Cricetulus griseus: one gene and its partners. The protein of the gene in region 4 interacts with the protein of the main gene of each other region in a pairwise test. Links are inferred from orthologs where the notes say so. Each region holds a gene or a part of one and is shown on either strand. Other genes may lie near its edges. The genes, in order: Dctn2, Hsbp1, Mfap1, Kifc3, Fam161a, Deup1 and Psmb1.

Evidence for each region.
Region 1: the proteins of Kifc3 (region 4) and Dctn2 interact in binary tests that used the Homo sapiens proteins (3 or more experiments, as listed by UniProt). The two-hybrid records come from large-scale screens. The link is inferred for Cricetulus griseus from reciprocal best matches to the Homo sapiens genes KIFC3 and DCTN2.
Region 2: the proteins of Kifc3 (region 4) and Hsbp1 interact in binary tests that used the Homo sapiens proteins (3 or more experiments, as listed by UniProt). The two-hybrid records come from large-scale screens. The link is inferred for Cricetulus griseus from reciprocal best matches to the Homo sapiens genes KIFC3 and HSBP1.
Region 3: the proteins of Kifc3 (region 4) and Mfap1 interact in binary tests that used the Homo sapiens proteins (3 or more experiments, as listed by UniProt). The two-hybrid records come from large-scale screens. The link is inferred for Cricetulus griseus from reciprocal best matches to the Homo sapiens genes KIFC3 and MFAP1.
Region 5: the proteins of Kifc3 (region 4) and Fam161a interact in binary tests that used the Homo sapiens proteins (3 or more experiments, as listed by UniProt). The link is inferred for Cricetulus griseus from reciprocal best matches to the Homo sapiens genes KIFC3 and FAM161A.
Region 6: the proteins of Kifc3 (region 4) and Deup1 interact in binary tests that used the Homo sapiens proteins (3 or more experiments, as listed by UniProt). The two-hybrid records come from large-scale screens. The link is inferred for Cricetulus griseus from reciprocal best matches to the Homo sapiens genes KIFC3 and DEUP1.
Region 7: the proteins of Kifc3 (region 4) and Psmb1 interact in binary tests that used the Homo sapiens proteins (3 or more experiments, as listed by UniProt). The two-hybrid records come from large-scale screens. The link is inferred for Cricetulus griseus from reciprocal best matches to the Homo sapiens genes KIFC3 and PSMB1.

Annotation. Positions count from the first base shown.
Region 1 is NW_023276806.1:130,449,077-130,452,217, reverse strand, and holds part of Dctn2 (dynactin subunit 2), read left to right. Parts: intron 1-657; coding exon 658-818; intron 819-971; coding exon 972-1,119; intron 1,120-1,395; coding exon 1,396-1,461; intron 1,462-1,606; coding exon 1,607-1,645; intron 1,646-1,998; coding exon 1,999-2,076; intron 2,077-2,164; coding exon 2,165-2,236; intron 2,237-2,415; coding exon 2,416-2,518; intron 2,519-2,612; coding exon 2,613-2,704; intron 2,705-3,141. UniProt on the Homo sapiens protein: Part of the dynactin complex that activates the molecular motor dynein for ultra-processive transport along microtubules. In the dynactin soulder domain, binds the ACTR1A filament and acts as a molecular ruler to determine the length.
Region 2 is NC_048596.1:195,967,628-195,971,829, forward strand, and holds the start of Hsbp1 (heat shock factor-binding protein 1), read left to right. Parts: upstream 1-1,402; 5' UTR 1,403-1,517; coding exon 1,518-1,562; intron 1,563-1,849; coding exon 1,850-1,916; intron 1,917-2,554; coding exon 2,555-2,673; 3' UTR 2,674-2,675; intron 2,676-4,202. UniProt on the Homo sapiens protein: Negative regulator of the heat shock response. Negatively affects HSF1 DNA-binding activity. May have a role in the suppression of the activation of the stress response during the aging process.
Region 3 is NC_048599.1:56,936,784-56,941,066, reverse strand, and holds the start of Mfap1 (microfibrillar-associated protein 1), read right to left. Parts: upstream 2,801-4,283; coding exon 2,722-2,800; intron 1,422-2,721; coding exon 1,202-1,421; intron 1-1,201. UniProt on the Homo sapiens protein: Involved in pre-mRNA splicing as a component of the spliceosome.
Region 4 is NC_048596.1:171,316,985-171,320,484, forward strand, and holds part of Kifc3 (kinesin-like protein KIFC3), read right to left. Parts: intron 3,209-3,500; coding exon 3,065-3,208; intron 2,974-3,064; coding exon 2,734-2,973; intron 2,346-2,733; coding exon 2,172-2,345; intron 1,715-2,171; coding exon 1,567-1,714; intron 1,491-1,566; coding exon 1,360-1,490; intron 505-1,359; coding exon 393-504; intron 1-392. UniProt on the Homo sapiens protein: Minus-end microtubule-dependent motor protein. Involved in apically targeted transport. Required for zonula adherens maintenance.
Region 5 is NW_023276807.1:83,748,174-83,751,673, reverse strand, and holds part of Fam161a (protein FAM161A), read left to right. Parts: intron 1-2,469; exon of another isoform or gene 2,470-2,586; intron 2,587-2,664; coding exon 2,665-2,894; intron 2,895-3,500. UniProt on the Homo sapiens protein: Involved in ciliogenesis.
Region 6 is NC_048597.1:129,100,711-129,104,690, forward strand, and holds the start of Deup1 (deuterosome assembly protein 1), read right to left. Parts: upstream 2,801-3,980; 5' UTR 2,774-2,800; coding exon 2,636-2,773; intron 1,922-2,635; exon of another isoform or gene 1,724-1,921; intron 1,197-1,723; coding exon 1,101-1,196; intron 125-1,100; exon of another isoform or gene 11-124; intron 1-10. UniProt on the Homo sapiens protein: Key structural component of the deuterosome, a structure that promotes de novo centriole amplification in multiciliated cells.
Region 7 is NC_048595.1:294,438,057-294,442,131, forward strand, and holds the start of Psmb1 (proteasome subunit beta type-1), read right to left. Parts: upstream 2,801-4,075; 5' UTR 2,750-2,800; coding exon 2,640-2,749; intron 1-2,639. UniProt on the Homo sapiens protein: Non-catalytic component of the 20S core proteasome complex involved in the proteolytic degradation of most intracellular proteins. This complex plays numerous essential roles within the cell by associating with different regulatory particles.

The DNA of each region.
Region 1 (3,141 bases), on a different chromosome or scaffold from region 4:
CTGTTCAATTCAGTCTGCTGGGGGCAGAAGAGACGACTCAGAGGTTAAGAGCACTGGCTGCTCTTCCAGAGGTCCTGAGTTCAATCCCAGCACCCACATGGCAGCTGATAACTGACTGCACCTGGAGTTCTAGAGGATCGGACACCCTCACATAGACATACATTCAGACAAAACACCAATGTGCATAAAATTTAAAAATAATTTTTTCAGTCTTCGGTTGTAAACTCCACACTGGGGGTATGGTAGGGGGCTGGAAGGATTAAGAGTACTGATTGCATCAGGATAGCCAAGTGGTCTAAGGTGCCAGACTCAAGCTCAGCTTCCTGGGGCACCTGGGAGGGGGGATAGGGTAGGGAAGATCACTGGCTGCTCCTCCAGAGGACGCAGGTTCAATTCCCAGCACCCACATGGGTCCTCACAAACTGGTGTAACTCCAGTCCCAGGGGACCTGATGCCCCCTTCTAGCCCCATGGTCACTGCATGAACATGGTACAGGGACACACATACAGTCGCAACACCCATACATACATATAAATAAACAAACAAGCAAATAAACAAATAAATAAAACCACCTGGCTGTAGCTCTCTTTGAGGGGATAGCCATTTTTTCCTGCTTCATTTCTGCCACCCTCACTATCCCACCTCTTTTCCTGTCAGACAACTGTGAAGGAGTCAGCCATCGAGGAGAAGCTGACCCCTGTGGTGCTGGCCAAACAGCTGGTAGCTCTGAAGCAGCAGCTGGTGGCTTCCCACCTGGAGAAGTTGCTGGGACCAGATGCTGCCATCAACCTCACTGACCCAGACGGAGCTTTGGCTAAGTGAGTGCCTTCCTTGTGGAGAATCATTGCTGAGGGGAACTGTGGAGGACCTCAGCCAGACACAGACAGCAGGAGGCGGGAGGAGTTAGGAGGCAAAGGAGACAGAAGTAGTCCTCAGCCCCAGGTCATGCTGTTAATGTTCTCCTGACCCAGGCGCTTACTGCTGCAGCTGGAAGCAACAAAGAACAGCAAAGGGACTTTAGGGGGAAGGGCCACAGGTGGGACCCCTCCAGACAGCAGCCTTGTCACTTACGAACTACATTCTCGGCCTGAGCAGGACAAGTTTTTGCAAGCTGCCAAAGTAAGTATCCCTTTGGAGGATCAGGCCTGGGGATAGTTCTGGGGATGCCTTTGATTCCCCTTGAAGTTGCACTCTCCTGTCTCCCTTGCATATCTGTTTTTTGAGGCAGGGTCTCACATAGCCTAGGCTAACTTGAACTCAGTACCTCCCAAGTGGTACATCTAATTCAAATTTAAATTTAAAACTGTGCCTAGGCATGTGTTTCAAGAAAGGAGTCCCTCAGAGCAGGAAAGCAGAGGGTGGGGGTTGGGAACCTCACCTCCTCCTTCTCCATAGGTTGCAGAACTTGAAAAGCGCCTGACAGAGCTGGAGGCCACTGTCCGCTGTGACCAGGATGCTCAGGTCAGGGGCTGCCCCTCAGGTCCAGTGCTCCCCAGAATCTGGGAGGGGTCAGCTAGGAGGTGCCAGCTGGAACCAGGAGTGATGGAAGAAGGTAGTTAATTCTGTGAGGTATGAAGACTGATTTCTGTCCTCTGTTTCCCATCAGAATCCCCTTTCTGCAGGTCTACAGGGAGCCTGCCTTATGGTGAGTGTGCAAGAAGCTGGAGTGTTTGGATTATAGGGGCGATGGGAATGAATTACTTAGAAGTACTTTGGGGTTTATAGTGCTATATTAATTAGCTCCCATGAATTTTTTTTTTTTTTTTTTTGGTTTTTCGAGTCAGGGTTTCTCTGTGTAGCTTTGGAGCCTATCCTGGCACTCGATCTGGAGACCAGGCTGGCCTCGAACTCACAGAGATCCACCTGCCTCTGCCTCCTGAGGGCTGGGATTAAAGGCGTGCACCACCAACGCCGGGATCCCGTGAAATATTTAAGACCTTTTCCTAGTCTGATTCTTTTCCTGGTGACACTTGTGCAAAACCTTCCCCCACTCTCTAGGAAACTGTAGAACTGTTGCAGGCCAAGGTGAACGCCCTGGACCTTGCAGTTCTGGACCAAGTAGAGGCTCGGCTGCAGGTATGGAATGGAGTACCACCTGGGTCCCAAGTAGCTGGGACTTTGGAAGCCCTAGGTGTCTTCTCACCCTTAACACCTGTGCTTTCAGAGTGTCCTGGGAAAGGTGAATGAGATTGCCAAGCACAAAGCTTCTGTGGAGGATGCAGACACACAGAGCAAGGTCAGAGAGACCCTCCCAGCTCTATGCAAACCCTGCTCCCCCCAAGGGCCTCCTCTGAGTGCTAACATCAGCCTACAGACTCGGGTCTTATCAGTATAAGAGAAAGTCAAGGCAGTATTTCTATTCCTGGTCAGACCATGATCTCAGCATCCTTTCTGGGCCTTGTCATGTTCTTCCAGGTGCACCAGCTTTATGAAACCACACAGCGCTGGAGTCCCATTGCCTCCGCCCTCCCCGAGCTGGTACAGAGACTAGTCACCATCAAGCAGCTGCATGAGCAAGGTGTGAGGCTGCTCCCTAGGCATGGGGTCCTTTGTGTCCCTCACTCAGCAGTGGCCTCTGCTCTCAGCCGTGCCCCTCTTCGCTTCTCTTATAGCTATGCAGTTTGGTCAGCTCCTGACACACTTGGACACCACTCAGCAGATGATCGCCAGTTCCCTGAAGGACAACGCCACTCTGCTGACCCAGGTGTGCCAATCTTTTGTTCCATCGAAGACCTCAGAGGTTCTCCAGCCCTGCCTCAGAGGGCTCTGTTTTAAGCCTTTGAATGTCCATTCTGTTTTCATAGTCATAGGATCTTTGTGCCCAATCTAGTTCTCTCTAGCCTTGGACTTTGTTTTGGCAGAAGGTGGGGATGTCTCATTCTGGCTGGCTTGAAACTTTTTGTAGACCAGGCTGGCCCCAAATTTGTGACAATCCTCATTTCCTCCCAAGTGCTGGGATTACAGGAATGTGCTGCCTACCAGGCTTGACTGTTTGAGACAGGTCTTGCTATCTACCCCTAGCTAGCCTCAAAATCACAACTAAACAACCCTTGCTGCTTTAGACTCCCAGGTGCTGGAATTAGGCCTGAGCACATCCTGCTTTAATTTCACCTTCTTTATTCATCTTTTGGTTTCTAGTGG
Region 2 (4,202 bases), about 25 Mb from region 4:
CGTCCCGGTTCACCCCTGACACTGCCCCCTCTTGTACACAAATGGAGACCTGCACCACTTAGCATTAGGCAGCCATATGGTTGAAAGAAGCCGGGTTAGTTTCCATCACAGTGTTAGACCCCCGGAAAACTCAGGTATCCGGGGTCCCAGGCCACGACCACGATCACCCCAATCACCAGGCGGATTCGAGAGCTTGCTGCAAACTGCATGAGGCTTTATTGTTTTAACGAGCTAACCCCGTGTTAGCTCCAGTCTTTCACCCACCCGCCATGGCGGATGGCTAGCAAAGACAGCTCCTAGGGGCTCCCGAGAGATCTTGTAAGGCAGCGTAAGGGGAGTGTCTAGGGGTACGCACAGGCTCAGGATTGGTGTGCCCTCCAGGCTTGGAGGGCTTGCCCTGTGTTGATTGGCCAACTGGTTGTTATGGCCCATAGGCCCTCCCAGGATGGTTGCTATGCTTTGTACGTCATTGCTGTGTGCTTGCCCGTAAAGTACACCCAGGGTCGTAAAGCACAGCACCACCAGCTAACTTCTGATTGGTTCCTTGTCACAAGGCAGGCGTCTGACCTCTAGTGACTAAGACAAGGTCATAGCGAGCACATATTACTGTCATGGCTGCCCAAATGGGGGGGGGGGGGGCGGTCCCTTCAACAGTAATACCTGGCAAACTGGGTATACTGTGTTATGTGCCAATCCAGGATGGGGGTGGTAGCCTGAGCTTTCTTGTTTTGTTTTGTTTCTACAGTGCTGGTCTCTTTGTGCTAGGCAAGTGTTTTGCCACTGAATACATTCCATTCCACCCTCTTTCTGCTTGTTAGGTCTTTGCTTTGTTTTGTTTTGTTTCTGAGACAGAGTCTCAGTAAGTTTTCTCAGTCACACCTTGAACTCAGGATCCCTCCCAAGTAAGTAGGATATCGGGCCTCACATACTTGTTGGCCCATGTCTTCAAGAATAGGTCTTGGTGAAGAGCAGACATCCAGTTAGTGCACTCTTACCAACTCTAAGGGATTTTTTAAAATTACATTTATTTATTTTGTAAATTATATGTATATGTGTATGTCACAGGACATGTGTGCTGGGCAGAGGTCAATTTGTGAAAGCTGGGGCTCTTCTTCCAACATGCAAGATCGAACTCCAGAATCAGATTTGGTGGCAAGCGCCTTCACCCGCAAGGCCTGACTACATCCACAGGGAAAAAAAAAAAAAAAAACGTTAATCCCCGTTAACCTTTGCCCACTTCCGGTTTTCTCTCCGCTTCCGCTCCCTGCCGCATTCAGGGTAGAGCTGGGGCGGGGATGGAGGCAGAGCTAAAACCGGGGAGGCGGAGCCTGTCCTCAGGACGCTCTGAAGTTTCCCAGGTCCTTCCGGTACGTGACGGGAACTACAACGCCCACAATGCCTCGCGGTCCCGTGACTGTGTTGTCGCGAGAACTGGTGGCTTGGGGGGCGTCTGCGCCAAGAAACCGAAGTGTAGGTGACGGTTCCGAGACATCGCCGCCAAGCTGGGCACCGGGGAGATGGCCGAGACGGACCCCAAGACCATGCAGGACATCACCTTGGTGGTAAGCGTCAGGCTCACCTGGGTTCCGACACTCCGCGGCCGCTCTCGGCCCTGGCGTGGGGTGTGGCCAGCGGCCTCGGCCCGCGCACCTGCGGGGCTCGCCCTCCTGCGGCCCCGGCACGGACCCTCACGACCTGACCCGCGGGAATACCAAACCCGACCTGGCAGGGCCTCGCTAAAGGTCTCGCCCACCTGCCGGGACTCCCCTACCCCCTGGCCTCCCCTTCCTCCCAGGAAAATGGTCTCGGAATAAGCTGGAATCGGCGGACTTGTTCTGGTTTCTCGTAGGTGGAGACGCTCTTGCAGCAGATGCAAGACAAGTTTCAGATCATGTCGGATCAGATCATTGGAAGGAATATCCTTTTGCTTCGGAGGCAGCTTCTTAATGGTGGGGATAAGCGGGAGGTTTGCAAACCGACTTCAGGTAGTCATTATTTTTAATTATGTATATTATGGGTGCGCGTGAGTGAGTGAAGAGACTAAAGGCATTGGATCCCCTGTAGCTGGAGTTACAGGTGGTTGTGAGCTGCCGGGTGTGGGTACTGGGAACCACACTCAGGCCCTCTGCAAGAGCCTCAAATGCTCATAACCCTGAGCTATCTCTCCAGCCGCACTTGGAAATTTCTTCACTGATCTTGGCTATACTGTGTTCCTGAGGACTGCGCCAAGAGCCAGAGACGTGGCCAAGCTACCCAAGTTCCCTGTTGGGGGTCCTCCAGAACACCAGTAAAGGAGCTAGGCTATGTCGGCTGGGAGTGCTCACTGAGCACTCTTCCTCTCTTTACCCATGGGATAGAGTCCTCTGGGATTAATGAATGAGGAAACCGGGGTTTAGGAAAGTAACTTACCTGGGTCCCCTGTACCTCTCAGACCGCCAGGCGGTCACTGTAGCCAGAAGAAAGGGAAAGCAGCTGCTGCTTAAGCCAGGTTTCAGGGGCCTGGAGGATGGGGACAGAGTGGGGTATTGGTGTGTGGGCTCCTTAACTGTGCCACTCGATGACATGAGCAGTCGCATTGACGATCTGGAGAAAAATATCGCTGACCTCATGACCCAGGCTGGTGTGGAAGAACTGGAAGGGGAAAACAAGATTGCTACTGCACAGAAAAGTTGAAGGTAAGGGAGGGCACCAGTTTGCTGACGCAAAGCACACAAAGTGGCCATCAGTGTAAGGTTGATGTCGTTGATAGATTTCACCTGTGTCTTTTCCCAGCCAGTATCTCTGCACCCCACCTAGAAAGTCCATGTTTTGAAACTGCTCATGCCAAACTAATTCCTTAGGTAGAATTTACATTTCCAAGTTTCATTACTTAAAACTGAATCACTGCTGGGCATGTCCAGGCTATACACATAATAATGTTCACACTTAAAGAAGAGTGAAATTGCTGATAAAAGACAGAAGTCATTTAAATATTTATATATGAGTGTTTTGCTTGCATATTCACCTCATGCAAACCTAATGCTATGGGAGACCAAAAGAAAGCATCATATCCCTTGGGACTGGAGTTACAGACAAGACCTGCCACCTTGCGGGTACTCGGAATCAAACCTAGGTCCTTTCCGAGAAGAAAAAGTGCTCTTAACCGCTGAGCCATCTATAGTCCTTTGATGTTTTAATTGTAAGTTATGACGGTCCTCACTCATATCCTGGGCCCTGCATAGGACACACCTGGAACTTGGACATGTCTCTGGCTGGTGAGCTGGCAACTGAAGACCACCAGGTGATGTCATTTCTGGGCATGTGTTTTGGTGCCCTACCCTGGCCACTGGAAGATTATTTCATTGTTTTCTTTTACAAACAGCAGAGAATTCAGGTCACTTACATAAATATCTATTATAAATTCTAGAGACGTTTGTGACTTTTATCATGGACTCGACTCCTTTACTCTAGACTGAGTTAAATTTCCACTGAATCATTTCAGATATCAGATGACAAGCACAAAACCATTTAATGTAGTGAATTTCTTTGTAGCTTCACTTGTGTTTGTGGAGGAAGGGCCCTCAGTTTTTATTTTTTTTATTTTGACATGCTATGAAACCCTGGCTGCCTGGCCTGGAACTTACTGTATAGACCAGGATGGCCTCAGGTTCATAGAGACCCACCTGCTTCTGCCTCTGCCTCCTAGATTCTGGGATTAAAGGTTATTTCTGGGCTTGGCCTTGAACCAGCTTTTCAGTGACTGAAATAGGTTGTTCTGAATTCCAGGAGACTAGATGGGGGTTGGGAGGGTCAAGATACATAAACAATACATTGGGTTGTTTAACTATGAGATGCGCATCAGTGCTTGGTATGTGCTGTGTCGTCTTCAGTCCTATTTAGAGAAGAGCTGCAAAGTGTCGAGTGGATCTTGGAAGCTCTAGGGGATTGTGCTATGTTGTGACAGAAAACCCCCATGAGTCAAGAACTGAAAGATTGTATGATTGAAGATGTTCAACTGACAGGGAAACACAAAGACAGGAATGAAAATAGGAAGTGGATTCAAAGAATTTTGAATAAAGATGTCCAAATAAGGGTCTGGAGAGATGGCTCAGGTGTTAAAAGCAACGTATGCCCTGTGGAAGACCCAAGTTCAGTTCCCAGCAGTCACATGAGACCTCACTCACCACTGTCTGCAATTCCACCTCCAGAGGATCCAACACCCT
Region 3 (4,283 bases), on a different chromosome or scaffold from region 4:
CCTACATGACAAACAATTTTACATACTGAGACCCCCTGCCTGTCTCCCCAAATTGAAACACTATGAACTGGGAAAGTTCAGGATAGCTTGCCTGCTCTGATGTCTAACTGGGAGTTTTTCCAACATGAGTTTACATAACATAACTTGTCTTTTTTTTTTTTTTTTTGAGACAGGGTTTCTCTGTGTAGCTTTGGAACCTGTCCTGGAACCCACTCTGTACACCAGGCTGGCCTTGAACTCAAAAAGATCCACTTGCTTCTGCCTCCCGGGTGCATGGGATTAAAGGTGAGCCATTACTGCCAGGCCCTACTTGGCATTTTTACTTACTAGTCTTTAGAACAAGTACAAGAGCACGGTGTGGTGGCTCACACCTGTACTGTCAGTGCTGAGAGGACTGAGACAGGAGGATCATTGCCAAGTTTCAGGTCATTCGGGGCTACAATACCACAAGAAACAACTATATGTCCAGGTGGTGGCACACCTTTAATTCCAGCATTTGGGAGGCAGAAGCAGGCAAATCTCTTGAGTTTGATGCCAGCCTGGTCTACATAGTTAGTTCTAGGATGGTCAGGAATATATAGGAAAAACCCTGTTTTGAAAACAAACAAACAAAAAAACCCAACCCCCACAACCAAAAAACCAAAACAAAAACCCAAACCCTATATGAATAAAATCAGTTTTTCAAATATTTACTATAAAAATATTTTTATAGTGAAAAGACTCCCTGCAACAGACCAATCAATGCTGTTTTCTCTTTATCAGCTAATTAGAGTCATTAGGCCTATGGAGGTATTTTCTTTTCCCCCAAGACAGGGTTTCTCTGTGGCTTTGGATGCTGTCCTGGTACTAGCTCTTGTAGACCAGACTGGTTTCAAACTCAGAGACCCACCTGCCTCTGCCTCCCGAGTGCTGGGACCAAAGGTGTGCACCACCATCGACTAGTGGAGATGTTTTCTGAAGCTGCTACTCCTTGGCTATATAACTTTGGTCATGCCACTTCCCTAACCCTCTGCTGCCTTAGTTCCCCACCTGTGATATAGGTATAGTAGTACCAATTTTGTAAGATGTTCTACAGATTGTAAGAATTAGCAAATGTAACTTATTTGGGATAGTATATATATGGCACACAGTAAGCACAAATATTATCAACTATCATCTCCATGACAGGTCTCAGTTCAGACAAATGTAACTCTTGTCATACCTCTCTTCCACATCTTCACTAATGCGATTCTGTAAACGCCGAAGTCGGGGGTCACTGGATGAATCTTCCTCCTGTTCCTCAGGCTCTGCTTCTTGTTCCTTAGCTTTCTTAATGAATTGAAATTCTTCATCCTCTTCATCTGAGGACTCCATAGGGGCATAATCTGGCCTTTTCCCAGATACATAACGTTTTACTTTCACTTTTTCCATTGAAATCTCACCTGGACAAGAAAGATAATTTGTTTCAGTAACCTCTTTCCTAATTCCCTGCAATTCTTGGCCTTTGCAGATAGAACCCTAAGTTCTTGATGGAGCAGAGTCTAGAGAGGATATGGCAGTTATTATCCAAGTACATATTCATCTATCAGTGGGTTCCTATAAAGACTATGGCATGGGAAGGCATTTTATAAATACCAAAACTAAGACATCAAGAGGTACCTCGGGGACAACAAAGTAGAAGACTGTGAACAATGAAACTGCAGACCCTCTCTCCCTGCCCCCCACCTACAAATTGAGGCTTTGTCATCTCAACCCTTAGTGGTGATTTGAATGAGAACATGACCCATGATCAAATGTTTGAACACTTGGTTCCCAGCTCCTCTCTCTGAGATGCTATGATAGCCTTTATAACATAATTTAATATTCTAATTTTATCAATTTTTCTAACCCTTATGCTGAACCAGATGTTCTCTAAAACACAAACAAGTTGGAGCTGAAGAGATGGCTCAGCAGCTAAGAGTACCTGCTGCTCATGCAGAGGACTGGATTCATATTCCAGCACCTACACGGCGCAGTCTGTAACAGTCTGATACTCCAGTTCCAGAGGATCTCATACTCTCTTCTGGCCTCTCTGGGTACTGAACCCACATGGTGGCTGGCATACACACACAAAAGCAGAACATCCATACACATGTAATAAGAATACAGAGAAACCTTGTCTCGACCCCCCCCCCCAAAAAAAAAGTGGAAATCCTTATAACCACCTGGGAAAAATCAAAGATAGCTTGGATATAACATACACACAAAGATCTCCAGCTCACTTATATTTTTACTTTTGTTACTGTTTCGGTTGTGAGTCTAGCCTTTAACGGCTGAGCCATCTCTGTGGCTCTATTTTTTATTATTTTTAACGATGCTGTGTGTGGATACGTGCAGGTACCAGCAGAGGCCAGAGGTTTTGGGGTTACAAGTGGTTGTTGAGTCGCCTGATGTGGGTGCTGGAAACTGAACTCGGGTCCTCTGGGAAAGCAGTACGTGCCCTTAACCGCCGAGCCACCACCTCTCCAGCCTCCTTTACTTTTTACTTTGAGAGGTGATCTCAGCAGGTCGATCAGATAGAGAGACGCAAGTGTATTCCGCATCCCTCAATCTCTAGGGTACATGACAGGGTGCGGATTCAGGTGGGACGGAGTCGGTGGGGCTGAAACGGCCAATCTAAGGCAGGTTTGAGGGATACTGAATCAGTAAGAGGTAAGATCAGACAGGAGGAGGGAGGGGAGGGGAGGGGAGGGGAGGCAGTACCTTTCTCATTGCGAACTGGGACGGCCCCAGCCGTAGACTGAATGGGCGGCTGCTTCATGAGTGCGCTTGGGACCGACATGGTGACGGCCGCGGTGGAGACTCCCAAAATTTGATTAAATCCCAACAACGAAGTCCAAGGAACACAACACCTCCTCCCACCTAGCGCCGCCGCCAGACGCTGCTGCGCGACTGACAGAAACGACTTCCGGCAGAGCTAGAGGAACCGGAAATATGCCGGCAGAGGATTGTGGGATTGCGGAGGGACGCTGAGCGCGGGCTGCTTAAAGGGCCAGGCTGAAATTTTACGCGTCTTCGTAGGTAAGTTTCCCGCCTTTAATCTCTGAAGATTTGGAAGCTCCTTTTGGCGGGCAGTTGCTTCTTTGAGGTTTTGGTGAGGTTCAGGAGGGTTCGCCTCGCCCTTAAAGGTTTCCTTTGTTATGTTTTGGAGAAACGGAGCAGATAGTGAGGGGCTGCTTGTGCATCTTGTTGAAACCCCAGAAGTGTGGAGTCTGAGCCGGATATGCGGGTCACGTTTGTAATCCTAGCATCTGGTAGGCTGAAACAGGATAGCGGCGTTTGGAGGCCAGTCTGGGCATCAGAATGAGACCCTGCTTTTAAAAAAAAAAAAAATCCCTAAGGGCCATCTGTTGGTTGGAGCACACTCCGGAGGCTGAAGCAGGCGGATCTCCGAGAGATTGAAGCTAGTCTGGTCTACAAAGACAACATTCTGGGAGTTCAATATTATAGATGATCTTGAAGGTGCTGTTAATATAATTGTCAAATTATTTCACTTGTTTTCTGCAATTGGGCTCTTGCTGGTTGAAGACTGAAAACTGGCAAACTTTAAATTAGTGAGTGCTTACAATCAACGAAACAAGGACGAAGCCTAAGCACTAGAAAAGCCTTAAAAAAGGCAAATGTAGATGGAAATCTTTATTCTTCTTTATTTAATCTTGAGACTGTGTTTTGCTGTGTTGCCCAGGCAGGTGTTTTGTTTTTTTGTATGTTTTTTCACCCTCGATTTCTGAGTTGCTAGGATTAAACACACAGGTGTGTCACTTACAGAAATTTTATATTATGAAACCGGGTGGTGGTGGCTCACGCGTTTTTGTTTTTTTTTTGTTTTTGGTCACCCCTGGCCATCTATAGGTTTTCTTTAGTTCAAAACAGGTGCATTTTTAAAAAATTTTATTTATTTATTATGTATACAACATTCTGCTTCCATGTGTATCTGCACACCAGAAGAGGGCACCAGATCTCATAAAGGATGGTTGTGAGCCACCATGTGGTTGTTGGGAATTGAACTCAGGACCTCTGGAAGAGCAGTCAGTGCTTTTAACCTCTGAGCCATCCATCTCTCCAGCCCCGCCAAGTGCAATTTAAACCAGCATTATCAGTTATTAGAAACAAGCAACACATAATGCATCTTTTTTTTTTCTTTATTCTCCTTATTTTGAGACAGGGGTTCACGTAGCTCCGGCCTCCCTTGAACTGCCTGTATAGCTGATGACAACTTTGAATTCCTGAACTACCTGCCTCTACATTCCAAATTAGGGATGACA
Region 4 (3,500 bases):
GTAGGGTTCTCTGGGTGACTGATATTCACTGTTTCTTCTCCCAGCCAACATGAGCATGTCGAGGGCTGTGGTCTGGGGACACAGCTGTCTCCCCAGTGTCTACCACAACATCTGGCATGGAGCAGGTACTCCCTCCCCTAAATCTCAAGGGAGATATCAGTGAAGCCCCAACCTGAAACAAGTGCCACTACTTCACAGCGACCTACCACATGCCTCAGACCTGGGAGGAGCCCACCATGGGCAAGGAGCTTTAAAATAATCAAGTTCAAATCCAAGGTGGACCATTTACTAGGTGTGTGTCTTCAAGTTTCCCGACTTTTCTGGGCCCCTGAATCTTCAGCAGCAGCGAGTACAGCTCTAAGAGCAACTGCCATGCAGCCAAGGATACTCACCCTTCAGCCTCACCAGCTCATTGTGGCATTTCTTACGCAGCTGCAGTTCCCGGCGGTACTTGCGCAGCAGCTCCTGGTTGTTGCTATTAACCTCCTCGATGGCCTGGCCAATCTGGGGAGCAGGCACATTGCCATCAGAGACCTGATTCTGTTAGCTTCCCTTCACTGGCCACCTGGTCTGATGCGTTACCCTTACCTGCTCAGGCTGAGTACCCAACACAAACTATCACAGCAGACCAACCTTTCCCAATAATCCCCGAGGAAGTACAGCCGGCACCCCCATCTTATAGATAAGAAAAACCGAGCTCTAGGCAAAGACTAAACAAAGACCTGAAACTTGAGTACCTGGCAACAGTGAGATTCAGCTACTCTCACATCTAACCGTTCCAAGGAGCTGGGACCTTAATGAGAATGATGATGGGTTTGATTCTTCACCACATCCAGGTATTACTGACGTAATTATTTAAAGAGCCAATTTTCTTTTCCCAGAATATACCTGTCTCAGCAGAGCTGACATATGAACTTGAAAAACCAATGGCTATAAAAGGCTCAGCCACATGGGAGACACTTAAGAGACACTAGCTATTCTCATACTGTATGAGGATGGCTTAAAAAACAAAGTGAGCTCCTAGGCATGAAGCTTGGCGGTAGAGCGTTTGCCTACCAGGTGTGAAGGCCTGGGCTCAATCCTTAGCATAGCAATAAAGAATAAACACAGTGAGCCAAGGTGTGGTGGCAGATGCCAGAAATTACAACACTCAGAAGGCCGAGGCAGGAAAATATGGAGTCAAGGTCAGTCTGGGCTAGGTAACAAGACCCAGACAAATACAATAGATATAAGACAGATACAATAGATATAAGGATACTGTAGCATGGATAAGAGCTCATGAGAGGAATGCCTTTTGGGAACAAGGCAAGAAACTGTTGCATAGGGGCTCTGAATAAAGGTGACTGGCATCTTGCTCACCTCAGCTTTGACACTCCTGAGAGCCTCCTGCAGCAGCAGGGGGAAGCTCCGCACCTGCCGCTTGAGCCCGTTGTAGTCATTGGTGAGGGTCCTCAGTGCAGGCTGCAGCGTTAGCAGGTTGGTCCTGACACCTATGAGGCCAAGGTGTTAGACATCTGGGCTTCGAGGCAGAGGCATGGGGATGGGCAGAGCCGGCTTCAGGCTCACCTGCCAGGTTCTCGTGCACTGCCTTCATCTCCACCTGGGCCCGTGCGAAGGCCTCCTCAATGGCCCGGTTCTTATCCTCCTCCAGGGACTGCATCTCCTCCAGCATCTGCCCATGTGCCCGCTCCAGCTCTGCCTCATACATGGCAATCTGACGGCCAGGCCAGGAAAGGGTTCAGGGGTGTGGGGTGGTAAGAAAGGGAAGGGCAAGTGTGGGGAGGAAGCCCCCCCCCTCTCCTGGGAGTGGACATATGCCTGGCTGGTGCAGAGGGATGGAATGGCCTGCTTTCTTTCCCCTACAGGGCTGTGAGTCTGTACAGGCATCACCTCCCTGTACTAGTCTAGTCCCATACCCTCAAGGCACATGTGCTCAGGAGATTGGAAAGAGTGTAACATGCACAGCAGCAGGACCTACTGAGCAGGCCTGTGGGCTGCCAGGGACAGCCCCTCATGATCTTTTCCCTGTGTCCCCACGGTGAAGGGGCTTCTGTGACCGGCTCACGTTATAGATGAGGAAACAGAGCTTGACTATATGACCGGGGGAAAGGAGAAACTGGATCCCAAGTCTGTGTGTGGAGTCCCCACTACAGCCCTCTCGGCCTGCACACCTGAGCCCGCAGCTGGACTGTCAGCTGATGGGAGTTCTGCAGCTGCTGCTCCATCTCTTTAAGCACCTGCCGCTGCATGGCCACTTGCTCCTGCAGGTGCTGGTTTCGGGTCTGGGACTCGCTGAGGGCCTGCTTGGTCTTGGATGACTCCACCTCCACTGTCTTGATGACATACTGCCAAGAGAGGGAAGGACAGAGCAGAGCAAGGCTGATTGTCCCAACAGCAGCTGCTGGTGAAACAGGAGCTGCTCCCAGGAGCTGAAAGGTTTTGGTTCTGCAGAATGCTGCAGGGCCTGCCAGCATCTTCCTAAGGGGAGCCAGTGGGAAGCCCGACTGATCCCAGGCTGGGCACAAACTAACAAGAAGAACACTTGTGCCTAGCAGACAGAGAACACCCTGCAGAGCCTGCCCTGGCAGCGAAGGAGGGAGGAAAGAACAAACTAAAGCACAAGGCTGGCAGGCACCCCTCGGCCATTCACACCAGGCTGTTCACTGGGACAAGGCCCTTTTAGGGGCAAGCCCGGCCCTGGGCCCAAGATTCCTTCAAGGCAGTACAACTCACCTTAACCGGTGGGGACTGGGCCCTCAGACTGGCGATGGTCTCATGGCTGTCACGCAGGCGCCGGCTGAGCCGTTCCTCCTCCTGTGCTTTCTCAGCCAAGCAGTCCTTGAGCCGCAGCTCTACCTCGGCTAGCCGGTCGGTCTTCTGCTGCACCTCCAGGTTCAATTCCGACAGCATGCCTTTGTTCTCAGCCACTTCCAACTGCAGCTGGGACAGCTTGTCACGGAGCTGGGTGCTTTCCTGCAGGCAGCCAAGGCAGCCAGGATAGGAATAGGGTCATGTCTAGCAGCTGAGCCCACTGACCCAGGTTGAAGGGGGTCTGTCAGCTTACCTGGCTGTGCTCACAGCCCTCACAGGGCACCACCGGCTGTGCCCGAAGCTCCTGCAGCTCCACCTCACAGCGCCTCAGCTCCTGCCTCAGCTGCTCATTCTCTACCATCACCCTGTCCCTGTGTTTCTCCACGTCGGTGCCTCCCTGTGGAGAGCCGGGGCCCAGAGGAGGCATGAGCAAGGGCACACCAGAAGAGGTGAGACTAAGCTATGGAGAACAGATGGGGAAGAGAGAATGGGAGTGGGGAGAAGAGGTAGGCAGGGAATGGACGAGTCCAGGGGCTCAGGAGGAAGAGAAAGACAGAAAAGGAGGCCAGCAAGGCAAGGCAGGCAGGCTCCCTGCTGCTCCTGCTCTGCTCAGTCTATTTTCCTGAGTGTGAAAGTAACACAAAGTCACATTAATGCACGGAGTTCACACTCCTATTCTACGTCAGCAA
Region 5 (3,500 bases), on a different chromosome or scaffold from region 4:
AGGAGAGTTTATTTGAGTTTTGCTTGCATTAACAGTGAGTAGCCACATGCAGACCTCAGTGTGTGTGTGCAGCTCCTCAGGCCTGTCTCTGCTTCCACCCTGCTGTGTCTCCCTTTCACACAGTTCTTCCAGGCCACAGTCCCCTGCTGTCTTCAGTGTAGATGACATAGGACCTGTTAGAGAGTCTGTGGGGGAGAGAATGAGCCACGGGTGTTCTGTCTGAAAACTGCCCACTGTTCTCCTAGAGGGCATATGTTTATAACACACTGGCAGTTTTACAGCCTGAGTTTTAGGTTTTCATTTATGTTAGGATCATGGGCCTTTTCCTTTGTATTCAGTAAGATCAGGTGGTCCTTCAGCAACCTGCCCTTCCAGACACAGCTCAGTCTTGCGAAAGGAAACACTGCTGTTTTCCTGTGGTGGAAGCTTACATATTCTTTAACTGTACATTCTTTCTTTCCACAAATATGTACTGGACATCTGTTCTTGGTCAGGCTCCTTCCTAGAAGCTGAGAACAAGAAAGAACCCTGCAAATAAACTCTTGCCTTTGTACAAACCCTTCTCCAGCTGGAGCAGGCCCGGGTATACAGATCAGCCAGGACGGGGCAGATGGTGTGAGTAAACACTTCTGGAGAAATGAAGTGGAGAAGAGGACTCAGTGAGTTGGGAGAGTGGCCATTCCAAAGGGGATAGTCCACGAAACCTCTCTGGAGGTGGTGTTTGAGTGGAGAGTGGGCGAGTATGCTGTGCAGACTTCTGGAGTGCGAGCATTGAGAAAGGGGGCAAATGCAGGGCCTTGGGGGAACTCTGCTCATCCCCCCTGCCCCCATCATTTTTTTAAGATTTTTATTTATTTATTTATCTATTTATTTATTTATTTATTTATTTTGTATACAACATTCTGCTTTCATGTGTATCTGCACACCAGAAGAGGGTACCAGATCTCATAATGGATGGTTGTGAGCCACCATGTGGTTGCTGGGAATTGAACTCAGGACCTCTGGAAGAGCAGCTGGCGCTCTTAACCTCTGAGCCATCTCTCTAGCCCCCGCCCCCATCAATTTTTATTTACGTGAGGCAGTTGTCTGTGCAGGTCTAAGTGATTACCATGTGTGCGCAGTGCCTGTGGAAGCCAGAAGAGGGCGCTATATCCCTAGAACGGGAGTTAAGAATTGTGAGTCACCACGTTTATGAACCTGGGACCTGAACCTGGGTCCTCTGCAAAAGCAACAAATTCTCCTAAGCAACTCATGTGACATACATTAAATAGGTCTTTGGCCCTATGAGTTGTTGATAACAAGTTTCTACATTTCATTTGTTTTCTAGAATTTATTCCAAGTGGGACAACACCAGCCTCTCAAAAACTTTAAAAAAAATAGCAACAAAAATCTGAGGCTAGATAGATGGCTCAGTGGTTAAAGCACTTGGTGCTCTTGTAGGGACTGGGATTTGGTTCCCTGCACCCACACCAGGCAACTCACAACCACTTGTAACTCCAGCTTCAGGGGATTGAACCCCCAGCTCCATGGGCACCTGTACTCACCCATGCACACAGGTATGCACATAATCTTAAAAATATGGCCCTCTGTCCATCCATCCATCCATCCATCCATCCATCCATCCATCCATCCCCTCCTTTCTCGTTGTGTTGGGAATAACCCCACAGTCTGGTACATGCTCAGCAGACACCTTACAGCCAAGGCCCTTCTGCAGCCCAAGGTATGATTTGTAATGGACTCTTCTGAATTTTCCCATTGGAAAGGCTCAACAGACTTATTTTATGAAATCATATCATTATTTGAGGAAGGGTTTCTCACTGGAATCTAGAGATCACTGATGAAGCTTCAGGTCCTGTCTCATCTCCCCAATGCTGGGGTCACAAACTTGTGTCACCACGCCTGGCTTTTTTATGGCTTCTTATGCTTGCATGGCAAGCACTTGACCAACTAAGCTGCTTCTGTAGCTCTAGAAAGTGAGGTTTTTATCTCTTTAAAAAGAACAGAACGATGGGTAAAAGGGATGAGAGAAAGTCCAGTCAGAACCCTCCAGTCCTGACTTGTATGTGGAGTGTCTCCTGCATGCAAGTGTACATGCAGTATTTCTCCACGCTCACTTCTCCTGCCCAAACTGTCTGCCATACACAGGTGTTACTTTGCTTGCTGCCCACAGCAGTGACCCTTCTGAAACTCTCTTTGCCCCGTGTCCTTCTCCCCTCCAAGGTCATCCCAGCCTGGGTCCTTGGAAGAGCAACTGAGAACTGTCCCTGGGCCTGCCCTCTCTCCACTGCACACCCTTGGAGCCCCGAGGCAGGGACCCCTCAAGAGCTGGCTGTAGGTACAGGAGAGTAGCTTCTCTCTTGTCAGCAAAGATGCACAACTCAGAAGAGGCTTCTGGTTGAAATCTGCGTAGCAGTGTCCCATTCTGTCTTCTGCAGTGTTAAGTGTCCCAACTTGAATATTTACTGTCAGTTTTCTAGGTACCTAACCATTATAAAATGGATTGAAGCCAGGCTTGGTGGAACACACCTTTAATCCCAGGGAGCAGAAGGCAGAGGCAGCCTGCCTGGGCTACAGAGTGGGACATATGTAAGAACCAGCGTTTGGATCAGCATCAATTGTTTATTTCATTTAAAATAGCATATAATGGATTTCTCCTCCCATCAGGCTAGTGGTAACAGCTTTCCCAGGGAAAAAGAAGATGTGACAATCCAGGACATTGTGGACTTTTCTGATGTTTACCACTCTAATGAAGAGTATTTCAGGAAACTAAGAGAGCTAAAGGCCGCCCATGCAGAAACCATGGCAAAATTAGAGAAAATGTACCAGGACAAGCTAAATATAAAAGACGTCTGGCCAGTGATCACCAGGGAAGATTATTCTAGTGTCTCCTCTAGGTAAGTTTGTGCTCGGTGTCATCTGAGGACTGACCTAAGATAAATATTTAAACTAAGTATGAAACAAAATATCCTGGAGTATTTGCTTCTAAATATCAGGTCCTCAGCAACAGTGAGAGCCTGTCTAACATACATTTGGGGTTTGATCTCCAGCATGGTTTGGAAACAAAATTGAACTTAAGGATGACACTCTTGCTGAAAATGCTTTCCTGCCTCCCACCAAAAACTGAGCATGACCTCCTGTTTCTGAGACGCTGGAGTGTCATGTCTTTGGGTGTCAGATCTCAGGCAGGCCTGGCACACAGGAGATAGACAGACTAGGTCCTTCCTAGTATTAATGATATATAGAGGTGGGATTTTATTCAAAATGTTTAATGGCTTATCAGTTTATTAAGTTACCTCTTGCTTTGAGGGTCATTTAGTGGCCATCTGTTTGCTTGTTTGTTTTTATTGTAATTTAATGTGTTTTTCCTGCATGTTTGTCTGCACCACATGTGTGCCTGGTGCCCATGGAGACTTGTGAGCTGTCATGTGGGTGCTGGGAATTGAACCCAGGTCCTCTAGAAGAGCAGCCAGTGCTCTTAACTGCTGAGCCATCTCTCCTGC
Region 6 (3,980 bases), on a different chromosome or scaffold from region 4:
TTCTACCAGGTACACATGCTGTCTTACAATGTCCAGGGCTTTCAGCTGTGCTGAAGAGGGCAGAGAAACACACAGCCAGTCTACCTGTCCAGCAGCTTCAGACATACCCACACTGGGCTGTCAGGTGAATTCAGATTTGTGTTGCTATATTTGTATGAGGGAAAAAAAAAACAAGATTGATTGCCCTAAGTTTTAGATGCTTCTGGTCTCAGAAAACTGTGTGCAGATTCATAGTACAAGCTGCCTTCTCATGGCACATACCTGAATTGCAAGCAAAATATAGACAGCTAGTCGGAAACATTCTGTAATAACAGTTAAGTAATGGGTTCAAATATTTCCTACTCCATTTTTAATGGCTGTATCCCCTTTATAGCACTTAAGGAGGAGCATCGGATACTCCAGGCTCCCTTAACCAGGTTATTACATATGAACTCTTTGCTTTCCAAGAAACGTTGGTGGTCAGAGTTCACAATCACACCACACACCCTACTGATTCCTTTTCTAGGTTAAGGACTCAAGCAGCTGCTGGGCCTGGGATGTTGAGGTGACTCCTGCCCTATGAGACTTTTTTTGCTAGGAGACAAGACTTTGGGGCAAGCCTCGTGGGGAGCTGCAGTGATGGGTGACAAAGAAATTGGTACCCTCTCACAGCATAGGCAGAGGCATGCCATTTATAAACAGCCACCAGCAGCAAGGCCAGCTCTGTTCTTTCAGCTACGTAATTTCTCACTCACTCACTTTCTGCTACTTACTTCATAGTATCAACCATCCATATTTTTAGGCTGCAGTGGAAACCCCAGAAATAACCATAGAAGAGAATTTCGTTTTTTGTTCTCATAACTAATAATAATCATAAAAAATAGCCTCTGGAGAGACAGAAAGTTATTTGTCTAGTGCCCTGTCATAGGGAAGGCCATGCAGATGGTATTTGAGTTGACAGCCTTGTAGGAGAGACAATCAGGACACAGAAGACAATGGCAGCCAGACATGAACATGCAATTAAGATACAAGAACATTTGCTTATATGCAAAGCATTTTTTTAAAAAATTAACATATCATAGGTCAAAACATGTAATGTTACATTTAACAGGTTCTCTTACTTGAGCTTTCAGGGCTTGTAGCTGTCCTTCGTAGTTCTGCGTCATCATTAAATTGCATTTTTCTAGACTGTCCAACTTCTGTCGAAGTAACCCCACCTGCATTAAAAATAAACTTTAAATTAGCTTTTTTCCTGAATTTTACCTTAAAAAATCAGAAAATGTGCAAAGAAGAAGTGCAATCCAAGTTAAACTGCTGCACTGAGCCAAGAGTAAATATTTGTCCTGCAGTTCTTAAAATAACTACTAATAACTGAATTCACAGAAAGCAAACATCTCTAGCCCGGTCCACTGGCTGTGTATTAGGATAGCATGGAAGTATATTTAGCAAGAGATCCTTGTCACTGTTGCATTTTAAATTAAGATTTAGACTTTACTCTGTATGATCTGTTTGGCAGGCTGTGCCATTGCTGTTCATGTAGAACTTCTACTAAGGTAACTCAAAGATTTTCTTTTGGTCAGGTTCCATTCCTTACCAGTTTCATGGCCAATGGATAATTGTTGCATTTTATAAAAACTAACATATTAATGAGGAAATAAAAATGTTTAAGAGCACTTATTAAGGGTTTGCATTACTCTGTTTAAATGCGGATGAGACACCTACTTATATATCTGTGTCACTGTAGGTCCTTGCATATACCAGGACCATTGGACCTGCCTTTCGAGCCAAGGGAAACCACAGCTACACCCACCTGCAGAACACCAACGCCCTCAGCTTTGCCAAAACTCAAACCATCCATAAGTCCACAGAAAGAGCTGGAAAGTGGCTGATGAAAACTTCTGCGATGACGTATGATTCCTGACTCCCAAAAGAGTCCAGACATGTAGGTCTGCAGATGTTTTTCTGAAACCCCCAAGGTCTTTCACAATCTCCTATGTGCACCAGCTCAGGAGTGAGCAGTTACAGGAGTGGAAGGAAGCCATTCTAAGTGGGCACTACAGGTACACACCAGCACCCCCCCCCACACACACACAGGCACACACAAGAACACACACACACATACCTGCACACACCCACAGGAGAACAAACCCACCCATACCCCCATACCTTTGCACACACATGAGCACACACACCCACACACCTATGCATTCATGAGAACACTCACACAAACACAAGCACACACACACACACACACACACACACACACACACACACACACACACACTTTCATCAAATGCACTCTCCTTTGGCAATTAACTCTTGACATGCTTGTTCACAAAACATTTTCCAGCAGATCAGAAGCAGCAAACACTCCTGGGCTCTGCTGAACAAAGACAGCTTTGGTCTCCATGGCAGGGCTTCTGTAGGAGCCAAAGCATTTTTACTTTTGTTTCCAAACACTCTTACTTCACATGTACCTTAAATGTCTGTTACATTTATTGTCAGCATTGGTGTAGTGAGTGTCTCCATTAGTAAATATCTGATTTATCCCTGCATCTATTTGATAGCATACATTTAACACCAAGTTTGCTGACAGAATTGTAAGTGACAAATGAGTTTGGTGCGTGAACACTTTGCTGACATGTGTACTCAGTACCTCCTGGCCTTTCTGATCCAAGCAAGTCTGTGCATTGGCCAACTCTTGATCACGAAGGTCTAATCGTGTCTCTAAAGCCCGCATCTTTCTTTCCCAGTCCAACTTCTTGTTGCTCACCATGATGTCAATTTGTTCCATCAGTTCCTGAAGCTCTGCTTCACAAGGAGAAGCTCTGGTGAATGTAGAAAAGTGAGATAGCTTCACAAGAGGAAGATGGAGCAGGAAGGATCCCTGCATCATCCTGGGTAGCTTTGCTGCTTCCTCAAATGGCTCAATTGTTTAAATAGAAACAAACCTCAAAGCTTCAGGCTAATCCCTTAAGTAAAAAAAAGGTAATTCCAGAGACAATACTACCTGTCTCAGTCAGGATTTCTATAGCTGAGATGAAACACCATGACTAAAAAAGCAAGCTGGGGAGGAAAGGGTTTATTTGGCTTATACTTCCACACTGTAGTCCATCACTAAAGGAAGTCAGGACAGGAACTCAAGCAGGGCAGGATCCTGGAGGCAGGAGCTGATGCAGTGGCCACGAAGGGACACTGCTTACCGGCTTGCTTTTCATGGCTTGCTCAGTCGGCTTTCTTGTAGAACACAGGACCACCAGCCCAGGGATAGCCCCATCCTCAATGGGATGGGCCCTCCCTATTCATCATTAATTAAGGAAATGTCCTACAGTCAGATTTTATGGAGATATTTCTCAATCTAGGTTCTCTCCTTTCAGATGACTCTAGCTTGTGTTACACTGACATAAGACTAGCTAGCACATTACAGTTGTACTTATACAAAAAATATTGTTACCCTCCTATAATCCCAGGACTCAAGAAGCAGAGTCAAAAGGATTGTTCAGGCAGCCAATTAGACTATATAGTGAGTTTCAGACACTTATCAAAAAACAAAACAAAACAAAACTCAAAACAAACAAAACAAAAAAGCTAAACACACACACACACACACATACACACACACACATACACACACACACACACACACACACACACACTCACTCACAACCCCCCAAAACAAAACTGAAACCAAACCAAATCTAACAAACACCATTTTTTTAGAATATGCTAATTATTGTGGATATGGTAATTTGAACAAATGCTAAGTGCTTAGGGATCCAACAAGTGAAAATAGACTCACAGAGATGTCTGTCATAACTCTAGGAGGTGTGACAGAGACACATTGGGACGTCTGTCAGGTCCACAGTCACATAGCTTATCTGTAGAAGTGTCAGACATAGGCCTTAGCTTCCCGTCTGTGGAGTCTTTGTACCATGAAGTGAAAACAGGTCCTTCTACAAGAACTGATTTAAAATCTGTGGTACTGACCACAATAACGCACT
Region 7 (4,075 bases), on a different chromosome or scaffold from region 4:
GATAAAATGAGCTGACAACTATAAAGTCCACCTGACACTTGACTGCTGCATGACTGGTCTAGTAAGTGAACAACCATCACTGTGGCATATGGTGGGGCTGTACTGTATGACTAAGCACCTGAGCACTGTTACTTAAGGGAGAGGCCTATTCATGCCACTTAATAGCTGTAAGACTTTGGATAAATTCTTCATGATGGTAATGACAGTACCTGTTGTGTTACATAATTCACATTAAAGTACCTACAATAGTTAACCTTCTAGGAAATAAACACCCAGGAAACATTACCCAGTATTTTACAGAAACCAGTTCTGTACTAAAGCAGAGAGGATGACATTCCACAAACCATGAACAGCAACAGAAGGTAAAAAGACATTACAAGCAACTTAATTGAGGTGATCCTTTGTGTAACTAGAAACATACACACTGTGATGAACTGTTGTAGAAGATCCCAAGTGCCAAGCTAAATTTTACAATTTTAGCAAGGAGTCCCAAAGCTTATACAATCAAGAATGAGAAAAGTTCCATTTGAAACAGGTTTTCAGACAATTCTGGCAATAATACAGTATATGAAATGGGATAGCAATACTGTTCCAGTCAGAGTGATGAGATAGGAAGCAGGATGAAGAGGGAGAAAAAGGAAAACACATCGGCAACGTATGCAACTGAGTTTTTATAACTACCTAAATATGTTTTGTGGGAAAAACAGCTAAAACATCCCAAGATAGGCAGAGTGATGACATAATCACAAGGGGCACTTTTTAAGGAGCAGAAGTGACTGAAAGGGAATAACCACCCTGCTTGTTTTTATACTAACATGAGTTACGGTGAAAACAGAAAATGCACTTTAGAAATGTTTTCCCAAAGAAGTCAAAATGTAGGGGCCTTTGAGAAATAAGGTTACAGAAATGGATTTTGGAATTATGTTCCCAGGGATTAGGCATGTAAAGGTCTTCAGTAACAAAATCTGGAAGCTACAAAGAGAAATTAACACCATCTTTTGAACCAGAGGCTGCTTGTCCGGCTAGTTGCAAAAATTCTAAAAGGAAGGGGGGCGGGGTAATAGAACTGTAAGTAACTGTTTGGAAAGTAACAGATGAAGAGGAACTACAGGAGGTTAAAAGGTAAATAGTGAGTATTGCACTCAGAACACTATTAACAAGCCTTACAATGTAAGTACTTAGTGTTCACATGCAGAGTTAAGACCAACACTGGAAAACGAAAGTTAAGAATTTAAAACTGGTTCTAATTCGAACAAGCTCTTAGACAAAGCTGTTTAAATGCCAAGAGCCAAGGACTAACACTATGAAATATTCCCTTAACTGCTTGCAGCCAGCTTACAAAAATGTAACCACCTTGAGTCTCTTTCAACATATTATTTCAAGAAACTGAAAGGAACCCACATAGCACACACTCACATTTGTTCTTCAAAAGCCACAACCAAGGCTAAAATTAGTATTTCACTGCCTATATAGTGTATTTTCAGCATCCATAAAGACATAATTAATCTTTTTTCTTTTCTTTTTTTCTTGAAACAGGTTTCTCCTTATAGCCCTGGAACTGGCTCTGCAGACCAGACTGGCCTTTGCCTCCCGAGTGCTGGGATTATCCCAACTGTTTTTCGTTTCTGTCTCCTCCTCTTTCTTCTTCTTCGTTTTGTTTTGTTTTTCGAGACAGGGTTTCTCTGTGTAGCCCTGGCTGTCCTGGAACTCACTCTGTAGACCAGGCTAGCTTCGACTCACAGATATCCATACCTGCCTCTGCCTCTGGGATTAAAGGCATGCGCCACCACCACTGCCTGAATGTTTTTCTTAACAAGCCACATTTTTTTGATAATTGGTTGTTTATAGGTATAAAATTGATGAAAACTACCTATATTGCCAAAGGTCCTAAATTCGAGGTGAAGACATCCCTTCGAACAAAGCGGATAATTTAAAGGCGCAAGCAATTTCAGAGTAAGAACACGAACACGAACGAACACACACACACACACACACACACACACACACACACACAGAGAGCGGGGGGGGGCAACCGTCTAAGGCCGGGGACACAGCTCAGCAGAACACGACACACACACACACACAGGCAACCGTCTAAGGCCGGGGACACAGCTCAGCAGAACACGAACACACACACACACACACACACACACACACACACACACACACACACGCAACCGTCTAAGGCCGGGGACACAGCTCAGCAGAACACGCGCGCACACACACACACACACACTCACACATAGTCAACCGTCTAAGGCCGGGGACACAGCTCAGCAGAACCTGCCCAGCAGGCCAAGTCGCAGAGTAGAACAAAACAACCCCTATTTCATCCCTGAACTTAAACCAAACGAGCATTAAGAGAAAAAAAAAACAAAACAGTGATCTACAAAGCCACCAGGACAAATCAGTGCTGAGGACAGGGCCCCCCTCGCCCGTTGGCTGTGGGGACGTGTTCAAGCCCCAAGAGACGACAGTGTTAGGAGCAGAGGGCTAGGGTGGGCGCCTGCCCTGAGGAATGCGGGAAGCATGCGATCCCGAAGGCGTCCGTGCAGGGCTCCGGGAGCCGGGCTGCGGAGCGCCCCGACAGGCTGCATCCCCACAGCCGCCCGCCCGCCCCAGGTGAGCCCAGCTTTTACCCTCCGTTGAAGGCATACGGCGAGAAACGCATCTGCACAGGGACGGCGGAGCCGTGAGGCCCCATGCCCAGCTCCCGCTCGGGGTTCCCGAAAGCAGCCGTGGAGAGCATCACACCGCGCTCCTGCTGTCTCACAGCAAAATGGCCGCCGGGACAGGTCCACTTCCGACCCGACCCGCCCCTCCCACCGGGCTCCTCTAGCCCGCACTCGTCGTTGCTCTTGGAGGTCTGTGCCTATGCCCCGCTACATATCCAGCTTGGGGTCCACCAATTAATTCCAGGAGACCTGTTTTCCAACCCCAAGAAAACATTCGATTCACTCATGGCCATACCAAAAACAAACAAAAAAACAAAAACTAGTTGCAGAGCAATGACAGCTCCGATTGTCACATTGGTGAAGTGGCATTTGAGGAGTTGCAGCTCCTGCTATGTTCAAGTCCTAGTGGTCAAGATGCATGGTCAGCTGTGTGGTATACGCAGCCACGCGATCCAGGAAGCGATACTAGGTTTCGCCAGCCAGAGCCTGATGGATCGTATTAACTTGACAGAATCTAGAATCACCTAGTAAAACCTCGCGGGCATGCTTATGCAGGTGATTTCAGGACAGTGTAGCTGAGAAGGGAAAACCCACCCTAAATATAGGTGGCACCATCCCATTGCCTGGCTTTCTGAACAAAAAGGAGGGGGAAAAAAAGAAAGAAAGCAAACTAACATTCATCTCCTTAGACTTCCGGTCTGCGGATGCAGTGTGACTCCCCCCTTCTCCAGACGTCAGGCTTCCCCATGGTGGACTGTACCCCTCAAGCCGTATGCCAAAAGGAACCTCCTTCTCTTAAGTTGCCTCTTGTCAGGCCTTTGTTAAGTTTTCTTAATGTCTTAAGGTTCACTATTCTTCCAAGAGAGAATGTTTCATTTAGAAGAAAATAGGTAACCAATACTATTGTACTTATTAGAATCCATGCAGAGGTCAACACCCTAGGCACATAACACACACAGGTAATATCCATCTCTCACACACACCCCTAACCTAAAGGAGCTTATCACCTCGTTGATAGTGCTAAATCCAAGGGAAAGGGAATAAGCAGAACTTCCTTTCTGCCTAGGTGAACCATATCAAGAAGAAATCAAGATACGCTGGAATTCAATCAAACGTTAAGAAGCAACCTAAGAGACAACTGCTGTTTTCTTGGAACAGCCCAGAAGTCAGCTGTTCGTCGCTGAGCTAAAATGTAAATGAATTTGTGACTCCACCTCCCCTGTGTCGTTGTCGTTCTTCAGATACCAGTTAACTTTCACTGAGGGTATGCTATTCGTGTCATTGAAATCACAAATTTCTAGGAGGCAGCTGCTACTACCATTCAGCTTTATGGCGTTAAGTGGAGGATGTAGGGAGCTTGCCGAGGGTAACACTGTAAGTGCAAAATCCTATTCGACTGG